Macaca mulatta: one gene and its partners. The protein of the gene in region 1 purifies or fractionates together with the protein of each later gene. This does not show direct contact. Links are inferred from orthologs where the notes say so. Each region holds a gene or a part of one and is shown in the gene's direction. Other genes may lie near its edges.

Region 1 (3,984 bases):
TTGACAAGTCAGCCTTGCAGGGAAGGGTTAGGTGGCCTCTGGCCCTCCCCTAACTGCCTTTCCTTCCCCAGAGTTCCTGTCACCTCAGGGTCTGGGGCTCAGAAAGGGATGTGTAGCAGCATGTTTCAAGGTGAGGGCCTGTGTGCCGCCCCTTCCACCCTCCTGGTTGCAAACCCTGGGAGGTCAGCTAATTGGCAGTTTCACAAGGAAATGTCGCCTTGGGCTGGTGCAATGTCCAGTTGGCTTCAACCAACTCCTCTGCTGGGCTTAGGCCTGGGATAGACCCTGCACACGTGTCCAGGGGGTGAGCGTGGGGGCTGTATGTGGTGTACCCCATCCTTGGAGGGCACAGTCTCCCCAGGCCCAGGAACGTGGAGGGCACCCCCATCCAAGGACCCGTCCTGTCTTCAGCACCAGAATGAGTTGGGCCTCAGTGTTTTGGGGGCATAATTAGTCGTTTTGCCTTTTTTTTTTTTGAGACGGAGTCTTGCTCTGTCACCCAGGCTGGAGTATAGTGGCACGATCTTCACCTCCCGGGTTCACGCCATTCTCCTGCCTCAGCCTCCCAAGTAGCTGGGACTACGGGCGCCCGCCACCACACCTGGCTAATTTTTTGTATTTTTTTAGTAGAGATGGGGTTTCACCGTGTTAGCCAGGGTGGTCTTGATCTGCTGACCTTGTGATCCGCCCGCCTCGGCCTCCCAGAGTGCTGGGATTACAGGCGTGAGCCACTGCGTCCAGCCCGTTTTGCCTTTTTATGCTGTGCCACACTAAATTGGCATCAAGACCCTTGATGTTGTGGGGGGAGGGGCCGTGCATGGTGGCTCACACCTATAATCCCAGCACTTTGGGAGGCTGAGGTGGGCAGATCACCTGAAGTCAGGAGTTCAAGACCAGCCTGGCCAAGATGGTGAAACCTTATCTCTACTAAAAATACAAAAAATTAGCTGGGGGTGGTGGTGCATGCCTGTAATTCCAGCTACTTGGGAGGCTGAGGCAGAAGAATTGCTTGAACTCAGGAGGCAGAGGTTGCAGTGAGCTGAGATGGTGCCACTGCACTCCAGCCTGGGTGACAGATTGAGACACCATCTCAAATAAGTAAAAAAAAGTATGGAGGCCTGAGGACACACCTCTCCTGGCTTCCCCTGGACTCTGGGCCTGGGTCACAGACCAGGCACCTTCCACACCGGTGGCTCAGAAACTTTCAGGCGTTGCTGCTTTAAATCTGAGGACTGTGGGAGGCAGCTTTCTGCATCAAGAAAGCATCAGTTTCTGACCCGGCGCTGGTGTACTTGTCAGGAGGACTTATGGAGGGGTGAGGGAAGCCCTTTCTAAATATGTGGCTTTTAGGAGTGAAGGAGAGCTTGGTTAACACATACCGAGAGTTTTTTGTTTTTGATGAGTTTTTGTTTTTTTTTTTAATTTAAAAATTTTTTTTGAGACAGAGTTTCACTCTTGTTGCCCAGGCTGGAGTGCGATGGCCTGATCTCGGCTCACCACAACCTCCACCTCCTTGGTTCAAGCGCTTCTCCTGTCTTGGACTCCCAAGTAGCTCGGATCACAGGCATGCGCAACCACACCCGGCTAATTTTTTTGTATTTAGTAGAGATGGGGTTTTACCATATTGGTCAGGCTGGTCGTGAACTCCCGACCTCAGGTGATCCATCCGCCTTGGCCTCCCAGAGTGCTGGGATCTCAGGTGTGCACCACCAAGCCTGGCCTGTTGAGTTTATTTTTTAATAGTTTCAGATTTATAGCAAATTAAGAGCTCCCAATCCCCTAACCCCCAGGGGCTATTAACCTATTAACATCTCTCATGGGGCTGCATGGTAGGTTAGATGAGGCAACCTTCATGCCTTGTCATCACCTAAGGTTCCTGTTTCCAGTGGCCTCTTTATACTTTCCGGGGACTTTTCCCTTGCATGGAGAGTTGAGTTTAGGTTTAGGCTTTTTTTTTTTTGGAAACGGAGTTTGATTCTTCTTGCCCAGGTTGGAGTGCAATGGTGCGGTCTTGGCTCCACTGCAACCTCTGCCTCCTGGGTTCAAGCAATTCTCCTGCCTCGGCCTCCCAAGTAGCTGGGATTACAGGCATGAGCCACCACGCCCAACTAATTTTTTCATATTTTTATTAGAGATGGGGTTTCACCATGTTGGCCAGGCTAGTCTCGAACTCCTGACCTCAAGTGATCCACCTGCCTCGGCCTCCCAAAGTGTTGGGATTACAGGCGTGAGCCACTGCACCCAGCCAAGTTTAGGTTTTAAACAAAAAGGGGTAAAGGAAGAAACCAGAGAAGAATTGAGGCGCACTCGCTCGGACTCCCCCTTCCCTACAGGTCCCTTCCTCCCCAGCAGGGCAGCCTCTGCCTGTCCCAGCCTCTCGTGACCGGCACTGTCTGCCCTCTGTCCCCACCGGCCCCTCAGCACTCTCGAGTGGACCCTGAAGAGCTCTTCACCAAGCTTGACCGCATCGGCAAGGGCTCGTTTGGGGAGGTCTACAAGGGCATCGATAACCACACCAAGGAGGTGGTGGCCATCAAGATCATCGACCTGGAGGAGGCCGAGGATGAGATTGAGGACATCCAGCAGGAGATCACCGTCCTCAGCCAGTGCGACAGCCCCTACATCACCCGCTACTTTGGCTCCTACCTAAAGGTGCCTGTTGGGGGGAGGCGGCGGCGGCCCTGCTGGTGCTGTGCCCGGCCCTCTCTTCCATGTCAGAGGGACTGAGTGACATGCCAGAGGGTGCAAGGCGGCCTTGACAGTTCAGTGCATGCCCTCCAGGAAATTGCCCTGGGCAGGCAGGGTGCGAGCAGGGTCCACGAGGGTCATTCGGCTCTGAGTGGCCATTGGGACCCACTTGCCTGCCTGTGGTAATGCAGTGAGGGCGCTGCCAGGAGCACTCTGGGGCGCCCCTGCTGGCAGTGGTGAGGGCCTGTGAGGAGCAGGTTTCTGGTGGTGCCAGGGTCTGGGGTGTAGGGAACGCTGTGGCCATCCTGCCCAGGAAGATGATGGGTGTGTTGGGCCATGTGCTTGCCAGCCATGCCCTCTTCCCAGCCCTGTAGGACTGGCTCAGCAGCTTGGCTTTTGACGGGGTCTTGGTGAAGTAGACTCAGCCACTGTTCTGTGTACTCAGTCCGTCCTCTGAGCATCTGTAGCAGCAGTGTGGCAGGCGGGGAGATGGGCAAGGTCGAGGGAGCCCCTTCCTGTTTAGGGTTCTTGGCAGGGATGGGACCGGTGGGGCCTGGGCCCTGGCTGACTCCGGCCTGACTCCCACCCTGGAGCATGCCCTTCCTCTCACTGCCAAATGCTGATGGGTTTGTCTCCGGTCCCAGAGCACCAAGCTATGGATCATCATGGAGTACCTGGGCGGCGGCTCGGCACTGGACTTGGTGAGGCATAGGCCATGGCAGTGGGGGGTCATGCAGTGTCCGAGTCCCCTGCTCCTCAGACTCATGGGCTCCAGGGGCCACCTCTCGTTTGGTGTCATGGCACATTAGGTGTTAATTACGAATCGTCTAAAGCAAAAATGAACTGCCATCCGCACGTCTGCCCAGTTGGTGCTGAAAGGGGTCCTGGCCTGTGGGAGTGGGCGGGGGCAGGCACGCTGGGAGATGGTTGGGAGCCTGTTTTTCTGTTACATGACAGTAAAGTGAAGCTGGTTTATATGCTTTAGACCACCCCACTCCCGTCTGAAAGTTGTGTTTGAGAAGTAAAGGAACATGAAGCCCCCAGCTATCTGCAGGGACAGCCCTCCCCTGTCAGAGAGACAGGAGAACTCAGGCATTGGGCCTGGGACAGGAGCTGAGGCCCTGCTGTCCCACCTTCCTCTCCAGCTTAAACCAGGTCCCCTGGAGGAGACGTACATTGCCACGATCCTGCGGGAAATTCTGAAGGGCCTGGATTATCTGCACTCCGAACGCAAGATCCACCGAGACATCAAAGGTCCTGCTGGGGGTGAATGTGGCTCTTGTAATGTCCTGAGCC
Region 2 (4,414 bases), on another chromosome or scaffold:
TAGATTTTGTTCAGAAAGAGAGGATAATAATACTGACCCAATTAAGTAGCATGTTGGGTAGATTAAAGTGCTTTGTAAACATTAATTAAAGATGCAGGGAGTTAGGTGAGGCCAATGTGTTATTAGAGGAAAAGTTTTCTTCCCTTTAATCAGGTATCTCTTTCTGGGGAGGGCAAAGAAATGACCTCAGGACTAAGGCATTGGGGCTCAACCCTGAGTGGGGCCAGTGACTCAGTCATTCTGTGCAACCACTTCCTTCTTAGTTTTCTGTAAAATGGGAGTAAACACAAACATTTTGGGAATCTAGATTGTTATAACATTTGCCATTTGAGTATGCAACAAACCCTACAATTAATACAACCCCATAATCCTTGCTTTCTCCCTGCCTACCGAATTAAACCCAGTAACATTAACCTCCACCAACTTACAAAAGCCTTCCGCAACCAGCTATTAACCTTGGGAGATATTTCCACGGTGATAGCCTGAAGAAGAAAATGCAATGAGCCATGGGGTCAAAAATTCTCCCATGAGTTTCTTCAGCTGTCTGAACCTCAGCTTTCCTGCTCTGTAAAATGGGGTTAAGAAACCAGAAAAACATTTTAAGGATTAGATGAAATAATGTATTTGGTGTATGCACATTAAATGCTGTGTCTGAGGGTACAGGTATGCAATAAATTGCATCAGCATTATTAAGTATAAAATAGCCTCTCCAAGCTGATGATAATAAAAAAGAAAAGAAAAAATTAAAGGCCAAGTGCAGTGGCTCAGGCCTGTAATCCCAGCACTTTGGGAGGCTGAAGTGAGAGGATCGCTTGAGCCCAGGAGTTCGAGACCAGCCTGGGCAATATAATGAGACCCCCCACCCATCTCTCCAAAAAATTTTAAATTAGCTGGGTGTGGTGGCGTGCACCTGTGGTACCAGCTACTTGGGAGGCTGAGCTGTGAGGATCACTTGAGCTTGGGAGGTGGAGGTTGCAGTGAGCCAAGATCACACAACGTGCACTCCAGCCTGGGCAACACAGCAAGACCCTGTCTCAAGAAAAATTAGATTAAATTAATGTCCCATCTCTTGCAAGTTTCAGACACACATCCCCACTGCTTTTCTCTGCGTGGGTCGCTCGGCGATGGGGTTGGGGATTTTCACGGTGATGTCCCCCAACTCGAACTTCACACCTTGACCGAGGGCACCCGGGAGGCGGCCGCGGGGTCCTGCAGCGCGGCGGGGCCTGGCCCTTTAAGCGCCGCGGGCGCGCGCAGTGCGTGCCTGAGGATCGCGAGTCCCGGCGGCGCGAGCGCGCGGTGGGCGGTGGAGCGCGCACGGGTGGGCGCGCACGGGGGAGAGCGCGCGGCGGGGCGGCCTGGGACAATCTGCGCCGGACGGGCGGCGGCGTGAGGGCTCCGGCGTCAGGGCTCAGGGTCGCTGGCGGCGTGGACACCTGAGTCCCGGAGTAGGGCTCTCCCGCGAGGTGAGTGCGGCCCTAGGACTCCGGGCACGGCTGGAGCGGCGGGAGGGCGTCCTGGCGGCGGTGGCGGCACTGGGGTCTGGCTGGGACGCCGGCGGGTCGGGCAGAGAGGGGGCGCCGGACCCTGCCTTGCGCGCTTCTCGCTCCGACTGGGGGAGCCCGGCGCTGCCGCAGAGGCCACCCGGTACCCGAACCCTGACCCCGGGGCGTCGCTGCCTCCTCGGGGACCTCTGAGTCGGGGCGCGGCGGGGAGCGCGCTGGGTTCCGAGTCTGGGGCTGTCCTGGGGGCGCAGGGGTGGAGGCGGGTTTCCCAGCCTTGGGCGCAGAGCGTCCCCGCTGTCCCCGACGCCTGTCCCCCAGCCCGGGACCGCTCTCCCTTGCGCTGTGGGACCCCCATGCGGCCTCGCGGAGAGGGTGCGGGTCCGACACGGCGGGCGGAGCCACCTGTTCCACCCGGGCCCCCAGGTCCTGGAATCACGCGGGAATGTGCAGGGTCTGCCCAACCCAGCCGGCGGGAGGGACTAAAATAGAGGAGAAAATGTGACCCGTGTGATGAAATTGAACAAAAGGCAATAAAATAAACTCCAGTATTTCTCCAAGGCTTTGAAAGTTTCCCAGTATTGTTTTACGGAGTCTAAATTTAAGCATCTAGTTGTTTGGTGTATTTTTTTTTTTCCCTTAACCGCAGGAACTAACCTCAGAAAACTTTTAACTCTTTACCAGAACCTCGTGCGTGCAGAGCAGAGAAGTTAAAAGTGAGTGAAGGAAAATGACTGTGTGTGTCTTTTTCCACCCTAAACAGAGTAAAACGTTCAGATCTGTAGGAAGAAGGTTCTTTCTGGCTCCAATTTTAACGGAGATCATTTTTTAAAAATCTGTATTTCTGAAAGGTATCGAAAGACCAAACCAGGCATACGTGGAAACTTGAGGGAAATGCTCATAGGAGAAAACTTTATTAAAAATACTTTTCTACGTTATTTTTTAAAAACACTACATAAAAGTGTCCCAGCATGCACTAAAACGTTTGCCCTCCAAGTTCTGTGTCTGAATTTTACTGGTTGTTTTTCTAGGTGGAGGAGGTATTTTCGTTCGTGAAGCCAATGTGGAAATACAAACAAATGCCCTATTGACTTGGGATTGGGTGGGAAGGATGGAAGTTGTCTAAAATCTTTCTTGCCAAAGTTGACAGCGTATGTATGGAATCTTGTGTGTTTTCTTGTCCAGACTAGTAATAGCCATTTTAATGCGATTGGATTATATCCCTTGGTAACAGCACTTCAGATGAGCTTTCTTTGAAAATTTTAGATGCTGACGATTTAAAAGTAACGTATTTTCTCCATTACTAGAAATCAGAAATCCAAAATTAGAGTGATAGTGGAGCGAAAGCTGGGAAGAGGAGCGATGCTTTTAGGAAAGTTTGAGCGTGTTTGAATCTCTGGTTACGGAGGGGTCGCGGGGGGGTGGGATTTGCTCGTTAATTCATTCAGGAATATTTGTAGACTGACCACCTACAGCGCGCAGAGCCGTGACTGGACATCCAGCATACAGTCTTTTCTAGATAACAGCCACATGGCCCAAACTGATTAAAACCAGATGAAGCAAGCCTTCATCAGCAGCTGAAGAGATACCTGGCCTTGGTTCCAAAGTTCTCAGACACCCGAGGCGCCCAGAGTTGGCACTGTGTGTTGATTTGGAAGATCATCTCAGATAACTCCAGGAGTGGAGCCTGGAAACCTGAAGGGGGAGAGAGGAAGGGCCTGGGTAGAGCAGAGCTGAGAACAGGGGAGCCTCTAGAACTAGAAGTTCAAGTGCATCTTATCTGCAGTGTTGTGGGACAGCTGCCAGTGGCACAGAGGCCATTCGGGAGGTGCCAGGGGAATCCTAGGAGCATCCCAGAACCCGAGCTCTTTCCTTTGACGGTGAAGGCCATCGCCGCGTGTCACCTTTCTTTGCACTTGGTGGCTTCCTAGCTGCCTGTGTGCTCTGAGAAGAGGGCCTGGTAACTCTGCCCCTGATAGACTGCAGCCATCCCCGCTCCACTCTGAGGGGTCTCCTGGCCACCATAGGAAAGCCTGTGTTCACGGAGGCGCTGCCCTCTGCACGGGTTATGTCCAGCCAGTGGCAACAACAGCCTCTGTCTGCGGAACCCACAGGGAAGCTGCCCCTGTCCATAATGCCCTTGTCCCCTTTCTAGACTGGCAGCATTCATCTTGAAAACTAAGAGTATTTTAAGAAAGTTGGTGCTGGGTTTGTAATCTGTGCATTCAGGATGGGCAGGAAAGGATCATATGGGGAGAGCATTCTGCCTTGCCGGACAGGGATGGGAGAGCTCTTCGTGAACGTGTCTTCAGACTGGGTACTGCCAGAGACTCTAGCACCGTGAAGACTTGATGCTGTTTATCTTTTTTATTATAGTCAAATACATAGAACATAAAATTTACCACTTTAAAGGGCACAAATCAGTGGCATTAAGTACATTCCATTCCCAATGTTAGGCAATCATCACCACTGTCGAGTTCCAGAACTTTTTCATCACTCCAAAAGGAAACCCATTAAGCAGACGATTCCCGTTCCCCTCTCCCAACCCCTGGCAACCACTGATCTCCTTCTGTCTTGGTAGACTTGCCCCTTCTGGATGTTTATACACGTGGAATCTTAGAATCTGTGGCCTCTTGTGTCTGGTGTCTTTGACTTAGCACAATGTTTTCAAGGTCCGTCCATGTCGCAGCGTGCATCGTTGCTTCCCTCCTTTTGATGGCTGAATAATGTTCCATTGTGTGGACAGATCGCATTCTATTCGCCCATTCATCAGATGAATGACTTTGCGTTGTTTCCACCTTTTGGCTATTGTGAATAGTACTGCTGTGAACCGTTGTGTACAAGTTTTTGTGTGAACACCTGTTGTCAGTTCTTTTGGGTCTATATCTGAAAGTAGAATTCCCCAGGTCATA
Region 3 (4,436 bases), on another chromosome or scaffold:
ACTCAGGGCAGGTAGCACACCACCCTGGCATTGATATGGGACAAAATTAAAGTTTGGACACTGATACTGTCTCTGGGATACGTTGACAAAAAAAAAAAAAAAAAAAAGCGGAATGCTGTTTTGAAGGCATGAGTGTAGCCATTCCCCATCTGCGAGCGTTTGATTAGTAAAACTGCTTTCCTTTCATCATCAGTCACTTCTCATGATTTTGGCCTCTAGGCAACAAACAGCCAGACGTGAGCCAGTTGTAATAGCAGCATTATTTACAATAGCAAAAGGCGGAAGCAACCCAACTGTCCAGCGGATGAATGGATAAACAAAACGTGGCATATACATATTATTCAGCCTTAAAAAGGAAGAACATTCTAACATATGCTACTGTGTGGATGAAACTCGTGGACATTACGCTAAGTGAAACAAGGCAGTTATATGAATATAAATGCTGTATGATTTCACTCACGTCAGGTACCCAGAATAGTCAGATTTGTAGAGACAAAGTAGAATGGTGGTTGCCAGGGGCTGGGGATAAGGAAGAATGAGGAGTTATTGTTTAAAGAGTGCAGAACTTCAGTACTGCAAGACGAAGGAGTTCTAGAAATGGATGCTGATGGTGGCTGTATAACCATATGAATATACTACTGAACTGTACACTTAAAAATGGCTGAGATATTAAATTTTATGTGCATTTTGCCACAATTTTTTAAAACTTAAATGAAAGTAGGCCAGGCGCAGTGGTTCACACCAACACTTTGGGAGGCCGAGGCAGGCAGATCACTTGAGGTCAGGAGTTCAAAACCAGCCTGGCCAACATGTGAAACCCCGTTTCTACTAAAAATAGAAAAATTAGCCGGCATGGTGGTGCATGCCTGTAATCCCAGCTACTCGGGAGGCTGAGGCAGGAGAATCGCTTGAACCCGGGAGCCATAGGTTGCAGTGAGCCAAGATCGCGCCACTGCACTGCAGTCTGGGCGACAAGAGCAAGATACCAAGATACCGTCTCAAAAACGAAAAAAAATAAATAAAAATTAAATGAAAATAAAAAGAAAATAACTGTGACTGAATAACAATCCACATCAATGAAAACCAGTGGGGAAAGGAGACCTTCCTTCTGCCCAGCTCATCATGGCCTGACCACCAGGCTGTGGCAACTGGAAACCAAGAGCGTGGTAAGGGCAGGTCTGGGGCTCCGCGTCAGGCAGGACTGCAAGGAAGCCACAGGTAAAAGCGGGTGAACCCGCAAAATAGGGTGCCACTGCGCAGGCGCCTCTTGCGTCTGCCAAGACACCTTTTAAACGTGCCCGGAAGTGACGCCAGTAATGCTGAGACAGACTCCCAGAAGATCTGAGCGAGTCGCGTAGCTGAGCCCGGCAGGGGCTGGGGTTGTGCTGCTGCTATGAGCTGCACCATCGAGAAGATCCTGACAGACGCCAAGACGCTTCTGGAGAGGCTGCGGGAGCACGATGCGGCTGCCGAGTCGCTGGTGGATCAGTCGGCAGCGCTGCACCGGCGGGTAGCCGCTATGCGGGAGGCGGGGACAGCGCTTCCGGACCAGGTCAGGCAGAGGGTAGGAGTCCAGTGCTCTCGGATTCTGGGCACTGAAGGGTGGAGAGCGAGGTAAAGTGGGAACTCGGCCTGAAATTTATTCCCGGTCTCAGAGGGCGGCGGTGAGACCTTTTTCCTGGGTCGGAGCTGAGAATCCTGCCCTAGAGCCCTGACTTCTGCCACTTGAGTTGCATCTGCCGCTGTTCTCTTTAAGGCATGCTTAGACTGTCTCTATTTGTCCAGTATCAAGAGGATGCATCCGATATGAAGGACATGTCCAAATACAAACCTCACATTCTGCTGTCTCAAGAGAACACACAGATTAGAGACTTGCAACAGGAAAACAGAGGTTAGTCAGGCCTTTTCATATCTGGTAATAGTTTAAAGTTACTGCAAAATTGCCCTAAACATTCACAAGGGTGTGCATCTATTTCCAGGTCAGTACTTTTCGTAGGAGAGTCCTCCTGTGCTGGCTCAGTAACAGTAAAGTTTGTTAGATTACCCATTTCAAGGTCATCTGACTGATTTTGTAGCAGCTTACCAAAGAGGGGCTATGTAGAGTTAGAATTATTGCATGGTTTATTTTTAAGCATCTCCAGATGTGTAACAAAAGAGTTCATATCCTCATGGACTTAAAATTTAATGTTTAAATATTAATATAAACACTGAAGGTAAGATTTAAGGTTTTGTTTATGTTCTTGTTTGTGCAAGGTGAAGCAGCAGAATTTTACTCTAAGGGTATATATTCTTAGGCTTGATTAGTACATTATTAATGACTGTAGTATTAATAGTTGTTTACCAGAGGGGTTTCACATATATCATTCTACTGTATTCTCATATCTTCATTTTTATCTATCACAATGCTGTTAAGAAATAGGCTCAGAGAAGCTAAATGATTTACTTATGAGTATTAACCAAGCAAGTTACAGAACTGAACTCAAATCCATGTCTTCTGATGACATATCCGTTGTTGTTACTGCAAGATTTTGCTTCTCTGCCTAGAAAGTTACCTTTAACATAGACTTTAACTGCTCAGTTTTGTAGACTGAAACATTGATTTACAACCTTGGATTCATATTATCTCTATAGTATTGCAAAATTCTAACTGTTAAGACTTTGGATTTGGGAACTGTCTCTCAGACATCACTGCCAAGTTATTTTATTTTTTGACAGAGCTGTGGATTTCCTTGGAGGAACACCAGGATGCTTTGGAGCTCATCATGAGCAAGTACCGGAAACAGATGTTACAGTTAATGGTTGCTAAAAAAGCTGTGGATGCCGAACCAGTCCTGAAAGCTCACCAGTCTCACTCTGCAGTAAGAAACTTCGAATAAATTTGAAATGAACCAAATTGAAATCTTGAGATTGTTTTAGATTGTGTGCTTGTTTTTTTGCTTTTTGAGACAGGGTCTGGCTCTGTCGACCAGGCTGTGGTGTAATGGCACGATCTCAGCTCACTGCAACCTCTGCCTTCTGGGGTCAAGCCATCCTCTCACCTCTGCCTCCTGAGCAGCTGGGACTACAGGTGCACACCACCATGCCCTGTTAATTTTTGTGGGGTTTTTTATTATTATTATTATTATTTTTTTTTTTTTTTGTAGAGATGAGGTTTCGCCATGTTGCCCAGGCTGGTCTGAAACTCCTGGGCTCAAGCGATCAACCCACGTTAGCCTTCCAAAGTGCTGGGATTATAGGCATGAGCCACTGTGACTGGCCATGTGTGCTTGTTTTTGAAGAAAAGTAAGCTTGTTTTCCTTTCATGTTTATCATATTTGTTGTTTATTTTGCCATGGCTTTGTAAAGATATGAATAGAAAGAAGGATAGTGGTTGCTCAGGTCCTTTTATTTGAATGGGACTAACGTTCCCCCTCCCTCACCAAGATCTCTTTTGAAAATGTTCATTAATTCTTAGCCCTCACACCAAACGTAATGTCAGTTAGTGTTGAAGGTGCCCAGTAAATACTTGGTTGGTTATTATACATTTCACTTAAGCTCCTTGGTTGTGAGGCACTTGAATTCACATTTTATTCCTAACATAGTACCTGACATATAGCAAGCAGTCAATAAACCTTTTATAAACTGAACCACATAGCATCATACTATGTTATTAGGGGATAGAAGTATGGTTTTTAAAAAAAACAAACATGGCATAGTTTCTATGCTTTGATTGCTTATTATCTAATTTGGGAGACTCGGTAATTGTTCTTATGTTTGTAGGTGCTTCATGGTTGTCATTGTACATTCGTGTGTACTGTGTCATTTAATTCTAGATGTATAAGTTGGAGCCTACTACTTCTGTGAGATGTAGTGAAATATAAGCTTCATCTTAAATTACATTGAATGCATTTTACTGACTTAAAAGTTTTAGGAAACAGATATTTTAAATATTTGAATGGCTTTCAACTGGAAGAGAAAAATAGATTTTATTTATTCTCATATGGAGGAAAAAACCTGAACTTTGAAAGAGACAGTTTACTCAGATAGATAAACTTTCTAAGTGATATGTCCAAAGATAGAATAAGGCACCTTGGAATGTAGTAAGCTTCCTGCCAGTGAAAGTATTCAAATTTAAGTTAAACAGCCACTTAGAGGTAGTATCCAACATCCAATGGGTAGTTAAACTACAACTGATTTTTTTTTCCGTTTCAAATATTTTTATTGGAGGGTGGACCTATTGGGTGATTGATGCACTGGACATAGATAATTTTCAGAAATGAAAATAACATTGCTTGCATCAGATCAGATTTCACCCACAGAAATGACTAAGGCCTTATCAGAGTTGGCATTGGATGAAAACTTAATCCTTTATGGAAAGGGAATCATCTGGCCTTCTATTTCTGAAATAGACTAAAGATTACTCATTTATTCTCTGCAATTACAGCCATCAGATCCTT
Region 4 (3,984 bases), on another chromosome or scaffold:
GTATGGATTTGCCTATTCTGGACATTTTATATGAATGAAATGATAAAATATGCAGCTTTTTGTGATTGGCTTCTTAACATAATGTTTTTAAGGTTCATCTATGTTGTAGCATGTTATCCGTACTTCATTCCTGTTTATTACCAAATAATATTGCATTGTAAGGATACAGCACATTGTGCTTATCCATTCGTCATTTGATAGGCATTTGGATTATTTTACTTTTTTGGCTGGTAAGAATATATGCTACTATGAATATTTGTGTACACGTTTCTGTGTAGACATATGTTTTCAGTTTTCTTGGGTATATATGTAGAAGTAGAATGGATGGGTCACGTAATAACTCTGTTAAATTTTTTGAGGATCTGGCACGTTGTTTCCCAAAGCAACTACACCAAGCTTGTCCGACTTGTGACTTGCTGGCTGCATATGGTCCAGGATGGCTTTGAATGCAGCCCAATACAAATTTGCAAACTTTCTTAAAACATTATGAGATTTTTTTTTTAAAAAAAAAGGTCATCAGCTATCGTTAGTGTTAGTGTATTTTATGTGCGGCCTGACAATTCTTCTTCCAGTGTGCCCAGGGAAGCCAAAAGATTGGACACCTCTGAGCTACATCATTTTACATTCCATCAACAATGTATGGAAGGTTGCAATTTCTTCACATCCTCTCCAACAATTGTTATTGTCTTTTTCATTATAATCATCCTAGTGGGATATATTGAATTGCATTCTCCTAATGACTAGTTATTTTAATTAAACATCTTGTCATGTGCTTATTGGCCATTTGTATATCTTCTTTAGATAAATGTTTATTCAAATCCTTTGCCACTTTTAAAAATGGGGTTATTTTCATTTTATTGTTGAGTTGTAAGAGTTCTTTATACATTCTGGATACTAAGCTCTTATCAGATATTTGTTTATATGTATATTTCAGATATATTTGTATTTATATATCAGATATATATATTTGCAGATATTTTCATCCTGCATGTTTTTTCCCCATTAGTATCAGGAAGAAATTCAAGAACTTAATGAAGTCGCAAGACATCGGCCACGGTCCACGTTAGTTATGGGAATCCAGCAAGAAAACAGACAAATCAGAGAATTGCAACAAGAAAACAAAGGCAAGATACGTTACTTTTTGACATTAATCCCGTTTCTAGTCTGTATTCCTGAATCATATTTATTGCTCTTTATCCTGTCCCACATTTGAACGTCTGCCTTGCTTGACATCCTCTTAGATTCTCATCCTCAATAATCCAGTTAGCACTGCTGTTGTTAGCTATGAAATAACTCAGCTTCATTCTCTGCAGTCCCACTGCATTAGCCCCCAGATTAGATGCTCAGTCTCTTGCCTGAAATGTCCAAACTTATCTCCCTGATTCCGGTCTCTCTTCCCCCTTCCTGTCCAAGCTGTCTTCAATATGACCATCAGATTGATATTTCAAAAATCAATCTGATCGTGTAATTCTTTTTTTTTTTTTGAGACGGAGTCTTGCTCTTTCACCCAGGCTAGAGTGCCGTGGTGCCAGCTCAGCTCACTGCAAGCTCCGCCTCCTGGGGTCATGCCATTCTCCTGCCTCAGCCTCCCAAGTAGCTGGTACAACAGGCGCCTGCCACCACGCCCGGCTAATTTTTTGTATTTTTAGTAGAGATGGGGTTTCACCGTGTTAGCCAGGATGGTCTCAATCTCCTGACCTTGTTATCTGCCCGCCTCAACCTCTCAAAGTGCTGGGATTACAGGCGTGAGCCACTGTGCCCAGCCCTGATCATGTAATTCTTTTGCCTAAGAACTTTCATTGTATATGTATTACCTTTTACAGGGACCCTAAAAATCAATTCCCAGCCTTTTTTTTTTTTTTAAATCTTATTCCCACAGCTTTCTTCACCGTGAACCCTTTGCTCTTGCCAACACAAATCACTTCCTAAACACATCATCTGTTTTCATGCCTCCCTGCTTAGAAGGTCCTTTCCTTCACTTTTCAACTGAGGGAACTCACACTGTACTTTTACAAAGCTTCCACCAATTTTTTCCCACAGATATCTCTTAAATCTATTTGACTGACACTCCACTCTGCACCAACCACATGCTTGTTTTCTCTGCTAGACTCTTGAGGTCTGTGGCCCTTTGGTATTAATATAGAGAGAGCCTGGGCTGGTATTTAATTGCTGTTTAAGTACATCTTTGTTGAAATGATTCTCAAAAAATAAGGTTAAAATGCTCATTCAGAAATCTAATAAGGGACTTCATTTGGTGTCTCTTATTGTTATATGGCTAGATTTTTGTGCATTGTGTTTTCTTTTTAAAATGTCCTATTCATAAGTTGCTTAGTGGAAAATTTTATGTACTTTTAACTCAAGTTGGAATAAAGTACAATATTATTCTTGATAGAATTGCGTACATCTCTGGAAGAACATCAGTCGGCCTTGGAACTTATAATGAGCAAGTATCGAGAACAAATGTTCAGATTGCTAATGGCTAGCAAAAAAGATGATCCGGGTATAATAATGAAGTTAAAAGAGCAGCACTCCAAGGTAATCCATTCTATAAATGTGACCTGAAATGGAAAAGAGAGACGATTGATTATCCTGTGTTCAGATTTTTTTTGTAAAAAATCACAGGTATCTAGTAATGGCATTTTAACATGATGTTGAATGTTTCATCTTTTTAATTGCCATTTTCTCCTTTTTCTTATTTTTCCATTTCTTGCTTGTTATGTATCATTTTCTGTTTGATTTATAACTCTCACTGTTTCTTAGAAACTTTAATTTGTACATTGAAAAATAAGTTTTATTTTGGATATAAAGGTAAGTCTGTTCTATTCAACATTATTTTTGTAGGGCTATGTGCTTTTAAGAAATATTTCTTAAAAGGCTGGGCATGGTGGCTCGCGCCTATAATCCCAGCACTTTGGGAGGCCAAGGTAGGAGGATCGCTTGAGGCCAGAAGTTCAAGACCAGCCTGGGCAACATAGTGCGACTCCATCTCTTCAAAAAGTAAAAATACTAGCTGGGTGTGGTAGCACATGCCTGCAGTCCTAGCTTCTCAGGAGGCTGAGGTGGATAGACCGCTTCAGCTCAGGAGTTTGAGGTTACAGTGAGCTATGGTCATGCCAACTCCCATCTAGACAACCGAGTGAGACCCTGTCTCTTAAAAAACATAATTTTTTAATAATTTTTTTTGTTAATAAATTTGTGTATTGACTTCTCTTGCATAAACAAAAAATACTGAAAACTTTTTTGTAAAACCTGAAAGCAGTTTAATGTAGATTTGTTTTTCTTAGGACTATTTTCTGAATAAGGCTAATTCATCCAGACTATAAATCATCTTGTTTATTATAATGGAAAAAACATGGGGTTGAGGAGAAGAACCAACATATTAAAATTTTGCTCCCTTGCCCCAGTATTATATACCAATTGACATCATTTTTTAGAAACAAAGCTGAAGTAGTTAGAAATTAGTGTTTTACCTGCTTTTCATCCCTTTGTCATCCCTGTGTTTATTCCCTTTGGTATGGCTCCATATTTTATGGCAACTGCTATGAAGACAAGTAGAATAATCCTTTCTCACTTATATTTATTTTAAACTGAGTTTTAGTTGCTGATATGAAATAAAAATATTAAACTAGATTATGGAAACTTAAGCTGTTATCTGTATTAGATAATGATGATCTGACTATTATTATCAATATTATTTAAGAAATAGTGATTATGAGCCTTCTTTTCCCCATTTGTTACAGCAGAAATAGGAAAGGACGTCTTTTTATATTTCTCTATTATTGAAACACATTTTAGATTCTTTAAACTACTTCTTCCATTTTGGTGCTTGTAGGTGTTTTTCACTTATTAGTAATTAATTCTATTAGAATTAAATACCTATCAAATAGCTCTTTATATGCCTTTATATATTAGAAAACCTAATGATAGGTACCTCTTATGTCAACCAGTAAAATAATAAATTAAAAATCTGTGTTTAATTAAAAA
Region 5 (3,984 bases), on another chromosome or scaffold:
CTTTCAGCCCTGGCTGACCATAGAAAGTGAAGCTTGAACAGAGAGCTTCAGAAATGTTAAGCCTGAGGAAGAAGAGGAAGTTCTTTAGCTTAATAGTGATTACTGAATTTATTTTAAACGTGATAAATGACTCCTTTATTATTTCAGCGAGATGCCGTATCCTATTTTTCTATTAAAGATAAACCCTATGTAGTTAACGTATACTGGCAGATTGCTGAGAGTAGATCTTAAATGCTCTCACCATAAAAAATAAGTATGTGAAGAAATGGACATGTTAATCAGCTTAATTGAATAATTTCACAATGTATACATACATCAAGACATCATAATATACACTATATATATATATAATTTTGTCAATTATACCTTAATAAAAAATATAAATAGACTCTAGCTCTGGCTTTGTCACTATTACCTGTAGGACCTTGGGCAAGTTATTTTTTCTTCCTGCCTTAGGCTCCTGATATGTAAAATGGGGTAAAAATGCCTAACTCAAGCTCATGGTGAGAATTAAAGGAGAAAAATGCTTATCACACTAACATGTTTGCACAACTATAGTGTGTTATTATCCCTCATTCAGCCATCCCAAGTAAAGTTACATAAAATTCAACTCGTTTTCAGTTTTGATTTAAAGCTTCATATTTTTAATTTTGGGCTTTTAAAAACAAAATGTTCTAAACCAAGCCCCTGGGTTCTACCTCCCTGTCTCTCTAGTTCAAAGGTCAGGCGCCCTCACCCTGCGATCCTGTGTGCAAGATTGTCGACTGGGCTCTGTCCGTCTGGCGTCAGCTTAACTCCTGCCTGGCCCGCTTGGGCACACCTGAAGCACTTCTTGGACCAGAATATTTCCTGTCTTGTCCTGTAGTTCCTGGACATGCCCAAGTGACAGTGAAGTAAGTGCCATTTTTCGTTAGTTTTCTGCTTATAATGGAGACATGGCCAATTCAGATGTTTGAGGGTGAGGATGCTGACCAGGCTGCCTTGCGCCACCTCCTGTCACTGATACAGAGTGCCAGTGCTCTCTGCTCTTCCAGAGGATGGCCACAGCTTGTCTACTGGGTGCTTCCCCTAGGGCAGCTGCATTTTTGCCGAGAGCTAGGTTTTTCCTCTATTAGAAAACTCTCATCCAAATTATGCTTGGCTTGCTATGCAGAGTCTCCTAAGTGAGGTCCCACATAAGAAGTTTCATCAAGTATTGTATGCACACCCTCCAAAAAACCTGCATTCTGTTAATGAATTGAAAAGCTTCTCCCTTTATTGAGACCTATGTTCAGTACTTACTGCGTTTTCCTTTGAAGCAGCTTATGAGAACAGACATATATACAATAAGGTTAATGAAACAGAAAATCAGGAGAAAATTGAAAGGAGAAAAAATCTGTTACCATCCAGTTTAGTCATGGTTCTGTGACCAGCAAGCAGATTTGATTCTGTAGTTTCTGGTGTCATAGGCAGAAGCCTGTCTTGGAAAGCAGGAGATTGAAATAATATCTTCTCAGCTGGGTGTAGTGGTTCATGCCTGTAATCCCATTGCTTTGGGAAGTTGAGAGGGGAGGATCACTTGAAAAATAATTAGCCAGGCATAGTGGCATGCACCTGCAGTCCTAGCTACTTGAGTTGGGAGGCTGAGGTAGGAGGATCAATTGAGCCCAGGAGGTCAAGACTGCAGTGAGCTTTGATTAAGCCCCCGAACTCCAGCCTGGGTGACAGAGCAAGACCCTGCCTCTAAAAAGTACATGTATATTTTCTCTGTTGTAAGACAAACCGCCATTTTTATAACAGCTAATTGGTGGGAAAGAAGTACTATATTAAATGTATATTTAGATTTTTGCTACAAAATAAATACACTTATTGATATAATTACCACTTTCTTCATTATTATGTCAATGAAATTAGTCTTTTTTACATCCAGAGTCTCAAGATTCTTAGGAACCAATTTTGACCTCTCCTATATGGAGTATAGTCTTTGTCAAGAACTGTGGAGGTTCCAAGATTTTTACCCTAGTTGCAAGCTACCATATTAGCCTGCCATGGTTGAGGATCTGAGTGAGGGCGCAGGACTTCATCATCCACAACACAGCAGGCAGCCTGAGCTTCACTTTTACATAGGTTCCCGTTACCCCTGAAGTCCCATGGGGTGATACATAGAAGCCCATGTGGATGCTGGATTTGCCTCACAGCTGTGGAACTCCCTACTTCCCATCCCTCCAAGGCTTCTAAAGAAGGATGCTGCAACTCTGTCGACCCTTAGCCCTGGAAGATGTTATTTTTATTATCCTGGTCAGGAAACAATTCTGCCCTCTGCTCCTGAAGGAGACCTTTATCTCTGTCTTCCAGGACTGAAAAGATAGTTCCGAACAAAAACTAACACCAGATGTGCAGAAATGCCGCAGATAATTGTCTACCAATGGCTAAGGAGTTGATTTTTTTTTTTCAAACCACAGCTTATCATATTTATGCTATAGCACTTTTAGGAATAACTGCATAATTTTGATTCATGCTGTAAAATACCAGAATTTTGTCTGTGTTCCCTATCGCACTTTTATTTTTCCCCGATTGCATAGCACTAGACATTAAGAGAGAAACTTGATGGATCGTAGTTTTTGACAATTCTTGAAAGATTCATGCAATGTCTAATAGCTTTGGAAACATTCCTGACCCGGGAGATGTGGTTTTGTTTCTATAGCCTTTAATCATATAAGTGTTTTTTAAATACTGTAACGAAGCATAATCTAGTTTTAATTTTGAGTGCTGCAAATTTGGGCTGAAGTCCCACTGTTTATGGCTATTAATGCAGACAGTCCACGTGAGGCGATAGCTGGTTGACCCCCATTCTCCCGATAGAACTGAGCCCACCCACACGCAACAGTGAGCCCTTGCCTTGGGACAGGCAGATTTAATTTACCAGTGATTATACAATAAATGTCAGGCTGGGCGCAGTGGTTCACACCTGCAATCCCAGCACTTTGGAAGGCCAAGGCAGGAAGATCACTTGAGGTCAGGAGTTTGAGACCAGTCTAGCCAACATGGTGAAACCCCATATCTACTAAAAGTACAAAACTTAGCCAGGCATGGTGGCACTTGCGGGTAATCCCAGCTACTTGGAAGGCAGAGGCATGGGAATTGCTTGAACCCAAGAGGCAGAGGTTGCAGTGAGCTGAGATTGTGCCTCAGCACTCCAGTCTGGGTGACAGAGCGAGACTGTCTCAAAAAAAAAAAAGATCCCAATTTCAGAAATATTAAAATACAATATACGTGTACTTTATTAAGGAGATATAACAAAGAAGTTGAAGCTATTTAGACATGGACTTTTAGGAAATCTTTTCCAGATTTCTTCAGTCTTTATATTTACCTTCCTTTCCATGTATTTATTCATGTATTCATTCACTCAGCACTCAAGCATTGATTCTACATTGAGAGAGACATGTAAACAACCAGTTTCATTTGAAATACATTGTATTTTTGAGAAAGATTCAAACTACTTTTGTATTGGGTAATTTCACTTATTTGAAAACTACCTGGGAAAGGTAGCATATCTATAGAAACACTTAACGTTTTTTCCCCATAGTCTTCAAACTGTCCTTTCGTAGAATTGTGTGTAATTATTGAGAAGCCTGCTCCTAAGGGATGAATCGGCCCCTCTCCTGCTAGGTGGATGTCTAAGCTGTGGAACGGCGTCATCGCGCCCAGAGTTCAAGAAGCAATATTGTCAAGAGCCTCTGTGAAAAGACAACCTGGCTTTGGACAGACAACTGCTAAAAGACACCCTAGCCAAGGACAGCAGGCTGTGGTCAAAGCTGCTCTCAGCATCTTGCTAAATAAAGCTGTACTGCATGGCTGTCCCCTCCCCAGAGCAGGTATGTGGGTTTCTGCAGAGAGGAGAGGAAATTCACACCCTTATAAAATACCTTTTAGAAGTTGTTTTTAGAGAGCTGTCTATCTTCTCTTTGTAATTAGAAAAGTATACATTTGATAGCAGTGTTCCAG
Region 6 (4,723 bases), on another chromosome or scaffold:
CTCTCTTTGGAAGAAACATGATTTTAAACTTTCTGAACGCTCCTTCTGTCGAAAAATCCGCGCGGGAGTCCTGGGGCACATTAATAGGTTCAGTGAGGACTGTCATTCGAAACGGAATGCGGGAACTAAGATTTTTTTGTTTTTCCGGGAAGAAAACACAACGAGTTTAGCAGAGGGGAGGATGGTCCTTCTGTTAGGTGCACAAATCCTAAGACTTGAGGGAATTTGACTGCTCACACTTAAGACAGCTGCGGGTGACTGTGTTGCCCACAGCTAAGATGGCTGCTGATGACCATCCCCTTTGGCTGGGTCTATTCTTTTGCTCGCTAGTATTTTCATTGAGAATTAAAGAGAATAAAATTTAGTAAAAGTTGGCACCTCCTTGCTAAGTAGATAAAATAAGAAAGTGGTACTGTTTGTTTAGAAAACCTTCTACCGCGCAAATTGTTCTTTCCCTTAACCAAAATGGTCGTTAAGGTTGTCCCGAGGTTTGAAGCTTCCAGCCCTTAACTAAGATGGCGCCTGGAGGCCTGTTAAAAATTAGCTTGCCCTTTTTTCTGCCCTCTACCAACACGGCTTCCGTGGCTTCGTTCACGTGACATTCCTGGACTACGGCGCGGGAGAGGGGGTAGGAGGGCCCTTGAAGGGTGCGCGTTCCCGTGGCGGTGCACCGGGTAGGTTTCAGTCAGAGTCACTATGGCGGCCGGCGCTGGCAAGGTAAGCTGAGGCGGCGGTGGCGGCTAAGGAGGTAGCACCCGTCGTGGCGTCCTGGCTCCAAATCTTCGCAGCCTCCTTGCGGAGAGGTCGGCGGAGGTAGTGCCTAGCGGTGGGGGCTGGCGGGGGTCTGGCTGGAGGAGCCGAGGGCTGAGGCTGGCGGGCTGAGGCGCCTGACGGCCGTTTGTTTTGATATTTTCCCCACCAGGTCGGAAAGTTTCCTGCCTCGTCGGGCGCAGCTTGAGCTTGCCCCATCGGCCGCGATCGGTGGAGGCTGCGGCGGACCCAGCCCGGGGCCTCCAGGCCTCTCCCCAACCTCCGGGCCAGTCTCCCTCCCCCACCTTCTCGTCCGCCGGGAGCTGCGGCTGCCGTCCCTGAGATGCGACCCTCGCGGGGGCGACCCTGAGGGGAGGCGGCCCATGTGCTGAGCGGCGGACAGGAGCCCAGGCGTCCGGGGACCAACTTCCTGCCGCCTGGGAACCCGCGCCTCCCGGTGTCGCGCCTCGCTCGGTCAGCACCGGCCTGCGGAGCCGGGTCCCCGCCCTGGTCGCGGGGACGCTCACCAGGTGCCCGGGAGTCCCGACTCGGCTACTGCCCGCGCCCTGCCGGCCTCCACGCCTCGCGCGGAGGACCTCAGCCACCGCCGCCTCGGATCGTGCCAGGCCGGGGACCGCGTCCCCCTTCCCGGGGCGGCCTCCGCGCAGCAGGGGCGATGCAGACTGTCCCGCCGGCCGTCTAGAGCCTCTACACTGCGGGCAAGGACGGGCGGTGACTGCCCAGAGGTGCCCGGCCACACCTTCCTTCGGCCCAAAAGGACTTTCCTGGCCGCGCCGAACCGACCCTTCCTTCATGCTGCAGTGCTGCAACGTTTCCGCCACCGAGGGGGAAAAGCGGCCGCGATCTCAAACCAAACACAAGAATTGGCGTGTGACTCATCTGCTTGGATACCTCCAGTCCCCAAACTGTGTTCCAGGAGTTTTCTTGGCGGAAGCTGCCCGATGTTTGAGCCTTTTCTTCCCAGAGAAGAAGATGGACTGAAAGCTGCCAGTTGGGGACTTTTTGTGATCAGGGCGCTGCTGGGTTTTAGAGGAGGTGATGGGGCTTGCGCTGGCTTGTCTTCCCACCCAAGTGAAGAGTTGATGTTCACTGGTTATGCTTAGACAATGTGCAGTTTGTGTTAATTTAAAATTTTGGGTGGGATAGGGGGATAGGCTTGTGAAGGGCAGTCCGGATCCAGAGGAACTCCTCTTTGTTCCTGGTAGGAGAGACACCCCCAGTCTATCCTCGATGCCGTCAGCCTTGGCCATCTTCACTTGCCGCCCGAACTCGCACCCGTTTCAGGAGCGTCATGTCTACCTGGACGAGCCCATCAAAATCGGCCGCTCAGTGGCCCGCTGTCGACCAGCGCAGAATAATGCCACTTTTGATTGCAAAGTGCTGTCAAGGAACCACGCTCTCGTCTGGTTTGATCACAAGACGGGCAAGGTAATGTCACCACGTTGTCCAGCGGCATTGTTTAACAAACTTGTTTCCCCCGCTTTGCCCTTTCTGAGAGGCCTAATGTATGCAGGATCCCAGGGTTTGCATCCAGAAGAGGCTTTGCGCAAAGCCACGAAACAACTGTTTGGGTGCCTGGTTCTAGTGGAAATTTGATTGAGGTGGTTGAATGGAAAACAGAGAAGGTATTGTAATTAAAAGCCTCAGGAAGTCTATGGCATCTTGATAACGGGGTCATTCCCAGTGAAATACCAAACTAGATAGTGAAACTTGGCGTCTTGCTTTCAGTCTGCTTGGAAAGGTGAATTCACAGTTCAGCGCTTTATTAAGCAAGCAGGAGTTGTCAGAGCAATTCGGGGAATCTGTGGCCATTATTATCCCAGGGCTCAAGTGTCTTAGTAGTGAAATGTAGTTAACACATAGCTTTAGGTGAGTTCAGATCAGGACCTTTCTAGTAAGGACAATTGCTGGTATAAACCTAAGATTTTTGAAAGGTTTGATACATACTTGCTCTTGAAGGAATAATTTGCAATAATCAAAGCTAATTTAATTAAGCATGAACAATTGTAACTTTATATATTTTCAGAGTGTTTTTTACAAGTTGGAGAACATACACATACTGCGTTTGAAAATCACTTTTTGATGTTCCCTGCAGCACTTATTAAGTACTTAGTGCATTCTTACAGAGGTGCTATTCAAAAGTTAGTGTTAGGAAATAAACTTATTTTCTGAAATTATACCCTATTCTGTCAATTATAGCATTACTTAAATGTGATGGGATGAATTCAGTGCTTTTCATTTTAAGCGTAATCAATTTAGTATTTTTATGTTAGTATCGTAAGTTACTATACACGTATGTGCTTTTAAGAAATGAAAGAAATTAAGATCCTTTCCATTTTTAAAAACTGTTTATTTATGTTTATGGATAGTATACTAAAGAGCTCATCTTTGTGCCTAAACCTCAGGTTTTTAGCTGAGCTACTGAATCAGTTCCAACTTTAAGTTATGTAAGACTAATAGGACTGTCTCAGGTTTCACCTCCTGACTTTTTGCCCCTTCTTTCTGAGTTAAATAATTAAATCTTTCTTAAAGGAAGAACTTAAGTCTTCAAGAATATGTTTTGAAATGAAAGAAACCTGAGCCTTAAAAGGAAGAGAAAAAAATGATACTTCGGCAGCTACTGATTTAAGGAATTATTTTGTAAATTATTTTTTGAAGAAAGGAGGAAAAGATTGTCCAAGTGCTGTGTGCTGCATAATATCTATACTTTATTCTACGTGTAGGAGTGTAGGATGAGAACTGAAGAATATGTTAACTTTTCTGTATAACACCAGATCGTCATTTACCTGTGGAGCAGACCCTTCCTCCCTACCCCCAAGCTGAACGTAGGGTGCCTAATTTTTTTTGAGACAGATTTTTGCTCTTGTCACCCAGGCTGGAGTGCAGTGGTGCTATCTCAGCTCACTGCAACCTCTGCCTCCCAGGTTCAAGTGATTCTCCTGCCTCAGCCTCCCAAGTAACTGGGATTACAGGTACATGCCACCACGCCCGGCTACTTTTGTATTTTTAATAGAGACAGGGTTTCACCGTGTTGGCCAGGCGGTCTCGAACTCCTGACCTCAGTTGATTCGCCTGCCTCAGCCTCCCAAAGTGCTGGGATTACAGGCGTGAGCCACCGCACCTGGCCCTCATAATTCTTTAAAATGAATATTCATAGAGCTCATTTTTCCAGCAGTTCAATTTAAATATCAGTTTACTACTAAGTAGTGCCTTAACTCAACCAGCTTTTACATTTTTGCCATTTTATGTTCTTGGGCAACAGGTCTAAACTAATTAGACAACAGGTTTGCTCACGGTACATACTCTGCAAACGCACTTTGATTAAACACTCAAAGGGAACTCTCATTTTTTGTTTTACTTATTTGAAAAATACTGATTTCATGCACAGTGCTTTCCATGGCCGTAATAAAACTCTCACAATAGGTTATTTTGAGATAACTAAGAATAGATCAATAGTGACTGTTTCATGAATTGAGATGACATGTTAATATTTGTTCTTTTTTTTTTTTTGAGATGAAGTCCTACTCTGTTACTCAGGCTAGAGTGCAGTGGCGCAACCTCAGTTCACTGCAACCTCTGCCTCCTGGGTTCAAGCAATTCTCGTGTCTTAGCCTCCTGGGTAGCTGGAATTACAGGCACGTACCATCATGCCCGGCTAATTTTTGTATTCTTAGTAGATACTGGGTTTCACCACGTTGGCCAGGGTGGTCTTGAATGCCTGACCTCAAGTGATCCACCCTCCTCGGCCTCCCAAAGTGCGGCCAACGTGCCTGGCCATGAAATTTGTTCTTCAGAAAAACTTATCTTTGAAGGGTAGATATGGCTTATTTCTACCATTTTCACTTTTTTCCCTCTTCTGCTTTATTAGCTAAAATAACACGCAGGCTATGAGACCACTACTTTAGATATAGATGTAATTATTGATTATTATACCACTTAATCTAGTTACAGC
Region 7 (4,745 bases), on another chromosome or scaffold:
ATTGCATACCCATAGGCAGAGCAAAGGGGAGGAGGAGGAAATGGGATTTTTCAAGTTCCTTTGCCTGTTCCAGCACCTAACACTCCATATTTGTAATCATTTCAGACATTTTATTTCCAGTCAGTATTTATTGAGTACCTACTCTGTGCCGGGCCCTTCATCTTACCTTTCAGATTGTCAGTGTTCAGAACACAAGGCATGATGCCTTTCTGAAGTTCGGTATATCCTACATCATTACACCAGATTCACTTATGCTGCTATTGAGCACCTCCACACATAGTCTTGCTGTCCTTCATGTATAGAGATGACCCTCCCAAGCCTAAAATCAACAGGGGGAGGCATGGAGCTTTCCTTCTGGCTCTAATGTTTGCTTTACAATCATCCACACCCATTTTTAGTCCACCATGTGAGAGCCAGTGTGAAGTGAGCAGAATATGGCATAAGTTTGGAGTCATACATCCTTACTGGAAATTATTTACTATTTACTAGCTCTATGACTTTATTTGACTTCTCTGAATCTCTATCTTCTCATCTGTAAATTGGACACAATGGTGTCTATCCTACACTGTAGGACAGATTTCTCATACAGTACTGAAGATGACATCAAATACCATTTAAATGAAAGTACATGGCACAGTGATAACATGATAAATACTCGTTTACTTCTTTCAGACTATAATCGCACAGACTGATCACATCCCTCGGTCAGACTGTAAACTGCATGGGGCAGGCGGCATCTGCCTTGAGGACTGTTTGCCTAGGCAAGTACTAGGTCCCTAATGCTGTCTTGCGAATTATAATTGCTAAGTTTAGGGATAATGTATTAAGTGTACTACATTATTTGTGCATTATAAATATTCGTCTCAAATATTTACTATATTGTATTTAAAATAATGTGGTTATCGTAAATGTAACCAGCTGAATCAATCTGTGAGCTGACAGCCATTCTGTGGAAATGGAATTCAGAAACTTTGACTTCAGGTAGGGATACAACTAGTTATACATCCACTCCCCTTTCTGAGTTACTCGGTCCTGCCTAAGACTTGCTGCCACCAAGATCTGCATTCCTGTGTTCACAAGGCAGACATTCCTTGCATCCTCTGTACTCTCCATTGTTTAACTTCACGGCAAACACCATTCCCCGCAATATAATGAGGCCAAGGACAGAAAAAAGTCGCCTCAGCTGGCAAGCATAGTGTGGAAAAACCTGCCACACAAATTTGCAATTATTCGACTTCTGCCTGGAAAGCAGGTCGGCTGGATTTATGTCCCCCAAAATTAGTATTCTCTTCTGTACAAACTGTGGTTGAGAGAAGGGTGATCTCCAGGTGTTTCATCTTTGCACCCTTGCTTGCAGCACCACGCCCACAGTCGCGTCCAGAAAAAAGAAAAAAAGGGGGGAGCAAGGAAGCCAGGTTTTCAACAACTAATTCATTCTAATGCAGACATCAAAGCCCACTTCATTTATTAACATTCTGGAAAAAATCCCAATCGATCAGGCCACCAGAGCCCTCCTTTCCTAAACTCCCCGTACAGTCAGGGAAAAGCACTAAGCACTAGCCACGGTCCTGCCCAGAAACCACGCAGAGGTGGAAAGTTGCAGACCAAGGGCCGGGAGGGGCACGAGCCCATCCTGAAGCCCGGGACCGAGGACGGCGCTTCCTCCCGGAAGTGACGCGAGCTCAATCCCAGCCTTGCTCTTCCCAAACAAAAGGGATCTTGGGGCCCCGGGAGGAGCCTGAATGACATTGGAGAAGCTCCGCCTCCAGCCGGCGCGGATTGGGGACAATGCTGGAGAAGCAAGGAGGCGATTGGCGCTGGTGAATGCCAATGCCCCCGCCGGGCGGCTGAGGGGGCGGGGCCTCTGCCGCTGTGGATGGGGAGTAGAGGCGGAGGGGAGCGGAGCCCGGTGCGTCGTGGAAAGGTAGGAACCACACTCCCTGGGGCTTGATGATGGCTGAGAGGCCGGGTTCTCAAGAGCAAAGCAAGTATAGGGGCACCGGTAGCTTCCCGCCGCTGTCCTAACGGCCTCTGGGCCCATCCCCTGAGGGGGCGGGGCCATCTCCTCCACCTCCCGGTATTCCCCGAGGAGGCGGCTCCTCATCCTTTGAGGGTCCTCACAGCTACTTTTTGTCCCTCGTCGATTCCCAGCTCCTCAGAAGGGGCTTCCCTCTGATACCCCTCATTCAAAGGCTCTTCCCACCCCGCACCTCAGCCTTGGAGGAGAGGACTCACAGGTACCGTACCGATTCTCTAGGCTGCCGCCCCCAACCCCGTTTTGCACCCCCGGAAGGCCAGACATCCCTCCCTACACCTGTCTCTGCTCTCCAGGGTGGGACTGGAGCTGCTTTCCTCCGTAAGATAAAATTAGTGTTTCCCAAAAAAGAGGGATGGGGCGAAGCAAAAATCAAAGACCGACCTAGACAGCCAGCTTTACCGAGGAAACGGCTTCTCCCACTTAAGTTCTTCCCATCCCCCATTCTCTGATGCTCAGTCTTCCTCCCGCCGCCCCTCACATCCTCTGGCCTCTTGTGAGGAGTCGAGAGCTCTCCTGTTTTGGGACTTCTTTGGACTCTGAAAGAGGGAGAACTAGGACCTCCTCTCCCTCGCCCTTTGTACCTTTCTTCTACTTTCTGTTCCTTCTGGGAGAACCCAGCCTCTAAGGGTTTCTTAGGTTTGAATTGCGTTTCATTTTTCCTTTTCCACCCTATTTCTTCTCTGAGAACTTGATGAAAAGCCATGTTATATTTCACAGTGAGGTGGGTGTGTTGGATATCTGCAGAGTTGGCTTTGTGTGGGCAGGAATGCAGTGTATGTTGCTTGACAGTCAATGAATAACACCATGTTTTCAAATGAAACAGTATACATAAGTAAATAAATAGCAGTGGATTAGGAATGAGTATATCCCAGTCTAGGATGGGCTGGTCCATTGCTCAGGGAGACTGCAGTTAACCTTGAAGGTATACTGCAGTTTGAAACAAAAGGCAGGAAGTGTTTGAAGAAAATTCAGGGTCAGTCATCTAGGCTTATGATTAATCTAGTCCTGTGTCCTTTGGTTACTCTCTAACCCCTTTTTTATAGTGTCTCCCCCGCCCCCAGGAAACATTCATGTATATTTTGATTGGTTTTACGATCATCTATCAAAATTTAGACGATGAAAAGTAATTTTTTAATCTCAGAGATCAAAGTAAATAAAGGCAAGGTGTTCTAGCTATTCATGTTTACCAAAAAGTGCCTCTAGTGTGCTCCTAAAGGTTTTGTCAAGTGGCCTTCATTTCAGCAGGTGCAAAGTGTTGATTTTGACCTCAAGTTAATGTCGTTGAATCCCCAGTAATCATCTATCGCTAGCACTTTTATATATTAAAATTTACCATATTTTTAGCATAGTTTTTTTTTTGCTTTCAATCTCAAGTCCACCTCCCCGCTGTCAACTATAGCCAAAGCTGATGGCAATGAAGTTCAAGGAGTTGGAATCACAGAGGGTGATTGTAATGACTGTTGTCTTTTACCTTCTTGATTAGACTTCCTGAGGGTAATTATTTTTGAATAGTTAGAATTGAAGGTTTCAGAGTGCTCACAGATCTTCTTAGTGAGCGTTTCCAAATCTCCAATAAGAAAGCACAAAGAAGAAACTGGAGGGTGTCTCTAGCAAACACAATGTGTGCTGCAATAGAAGGGTAAAACATGGGCTCCCTGCAATAACAGCAGAAAAAGCTAAAAGTAGAACAGAAAATCCCAAAAAGATAAGTTGTATTACATCAGCAGAGAACAGAAAATAAACTAAGGTAAGAGACTAAGCAAACCAAAGTTGTGGTGATTGCTGAGCTTTAATAGGAAAAAGCAAATAATGTTCTTTTATTATTTAGCACAGTAAGCAAGATCTGTTTGTTACACTTTTGGGTCTTGAAAATCTTTCCTTTAACCTTTTCAACACCTGTTTGGTCATGCCAGATGAAGAAAAGCGTACTATGCAGGGGATATATGTCTGATCTCTCTCCTTGAATTATAAATTCTTTGAGGGCAGATAGTAGTATTTTTTGTTTTTCGTCTTTGTCTCTTTCACAGTTCCTGGTATATAGTATGACTTAATGAGTGTTTGTTTAACTTAGTTTGAAGCTGTCACCTTAGGGTAGACTGAAAGGCAATGCACTGATTAGATGTGGCACAACTTGTTAGTATAAACCGTCTACTTGTTGTCTTCATTTAACTTGATTTTCCCCATCTGCTGTCTTATGAAATTCCAGTGTCTTAAGTGACTAAAATTTTGAATTTCTTATAAAGAAATATCTGTGAGGCAGGATGTGGTGGCTCATCCCTGTAATCCTAGCTACTTGGGAGGCTGAGGCAGGAGGATTGCTTGAGCCCGGGTGTTTGAGGTTACAGTGAGCTATGATCATGCCACTGCACTCTCCAGCCTGGGCAGCAGAAAGAGACCCTGTCTCTTAAAAAAAAAAAACAGTTAAAAAAAAAAAAAAAATATATATATATATATATATATATATATATATATATATATATATATATAAAATCTACTGGTTAGAAAATACTATTTTTACTGTCATGAAATTTGCACCAGACTTAAGAACATAATGAGTGCTAATCATTTCAGGATTTTATTGTTTTAAATATCTGACCCGATAGGAATGAAGTGAATTTAGAAGAGCTCACTAGGGACTGATTGTTTACTGATTTTTGCTCAAGAATAGTTTCTGAGGCCAGGCTCCGTGGCTCACACCTGTAATCCC

The links.
Region 2: the proteins of STK25 (region 1) and PROSER2 purify together in Homo sapiens (affinity purification with mass spectrometry; 3 studies listed by BioGRID and IntAct, counting the BioPlex papers as one, with this or other methods). This does not show direct contact. The link is inferred for Macaca mulatta from reciprocal best matches to the Homo sapiens genes STK25 and PROSER2.
Region 3: the proteins of STK25 (region 1) and SIKE1 purify together in Homo sapiens (affinity purification with mass spectrometry; 4 studies listed by BioGRID and IntAct, with this or other methods). This does not show direct contact. The link is inferred for Macaca mulatta from reciprocal best matches to the Homo sapiens genes STK25 and SIKE1.
Region 4: the proteins of STK25 (region 1) and FGFR1OP2 purify together in Homo sapiens (affinity purification with mass spectrometry; 5 studies listed by BioGRID and IntAct, with this or other methods). This does not show direct contact. The link is inferred for Macaca mulatta from reciprocal best matches to the Homo sapiens genes STK25 and FGFR1OP2.
Region 5: the proteins of STK25 (region 1) and CTTNBP2 purify together in Homo sapiens (affinity purification with mass spectrometry; 3 studies listed by BioGRID and IntAct, with this or other methods). This does not show direct contact. The link is inferred for Macaca mulatta from reciprocal best matches to the Homo sapiens genes STK25 and CTTNBP2.
Region 6: the proteins of STK25 (region 1) and SLMAP purify together in Homo sapiens (affinity purification with mass spectrometry; 5 studies listed by BioGRID and IntAct, with this or other methods). This does not show direct contact. The link is inferred for Macaca mulatta from reciprocal best matches to the Homo sapiens genes STK25 and SLMAP.
Region 7: the proteins of STK25 (region 1) and CTTNBP2NL purify together in Homo sapiens (affinity purification with mass spectrometry; 6 studies listed by BioGRID and IntAct, counting the BioPlex papers as one, with this or other methods). This does not show direct contact. The link is inferred for Macaca mulatta from reciprocal best matches to the Homo sapiens genes STK25 and CTTNBP2NL.

Annotation. Positions count from the first base shown.
Region 1 is NC_133417.1:146,793,594-146,797,577, reverse strand, and holds part of STK25 (serine/threonine-protein kinase 25), read left to right. Parts: intron 1-1,466; exon of another isoform or gene 1,467-2,421; coding exon 2,422-2,652; intron 2,653-3,332; coding exon 3,333-3,389; intron 3,390-3,833; coding exon 3,834-3,942; intron 3,943-3,984. UniProt on the Homo sapiens protein: Oxidant stress-activated serine/threonine kinase that may play a role in the response to environmental stress.
Region 2 is NC_133414.1:13,358,848-13,363,261, forward strand, and holds the start of PROSER2 (proline and serine-rich protein 2), read left to right. Parts: upstream 1-1,251; 5' UTR 1,252-1,466; intron 1,467-4,414.
Region 3 is NC_133406.1:125,473,079-125,477,514, forward strand, and holds the start of SIKE1 (suppressor of IKBKE 1), read left to right. Parts: upstream 1-1,332; 5' UTR 1,333-1,393; coding exon 1,394-1,552; coding exon of another isoform or gene 1,553-1,564; intron 1,565-1,785; coding exon 1,786-1,891; intron 1,892-2,715; coding exon 2,716-2,858; intron 2,859-4,436.
Region 4 is NC_133416.1:29,318,392-29,322,375, forward strand, and holds part of FGFR1OP2 (FGFR1 oncogene partner 2), read left to right. Parts: intron 1-1,006; coding exon 1,007-1,124; intron 1,125-2,392; coding exon 2,393-2,535; intron 2,536-3,984. UniProt on the Homo sapiens protein: May be involved in wound healing pathway.
Region 5 is NC_133408.1:157,262,660-157,266,643, reverse strand, and holds part of CTTNBP2 (cortactin-binding protein 2), read left to right. Parts: intron 1-714; coding exon 715-893; intron 894-2,334; coding exon of another isoform or gene 2,335-2,365; exon of another isoform or gene 2,366-2,395; intron 2,396-3,648; coding exon 3,649-3,854; intron 3,855-3,984. UniProt on the Homo sapiens protein: Regulates the dendritic spine distribution of CTTN/cortactin in hippocampal neurons, and thus controls dendritic spinogenesis and dendritic spine maintenance.
Region 6 is NC_133407.1:121,295,715-121,300,437, forward strand, and holds the start of SLMAP (sarcolemmal membrane-associated protein), read left to right. Parts: upstream 1-1,794; 5' UTR 1,795-2,001; coding exon 2,002-2,199; intron 2,200-4,723. UniProt on the Homo sapiens protein: Associates with the striatin-interacting phosphatase and kinase (STRIPAK) core complex, forming the extended (SIKE1:SLMAP)STRIPAK complex.
Region 7 is NC_133406.1:127,871,580-127,876,324, reverse strand, and holds the start of CTTNBP2NL (CTTNBP2 N-terminal-like protein), read left to right. Parts: upstream 1-1,879; 5' UTR 1,880-1,924; exon of another isoform or gene 1,925-2,237; intron 2,238-4,745. UniProt on the Homo sapiens protein: Regulates lamellipodial actin dynamics in a CTTN-dependent manner. Associates with core striatin-interacting phosphatase and kinase (STRIPAK) complex to form CTTNBP2NL-STRIPAK complexes.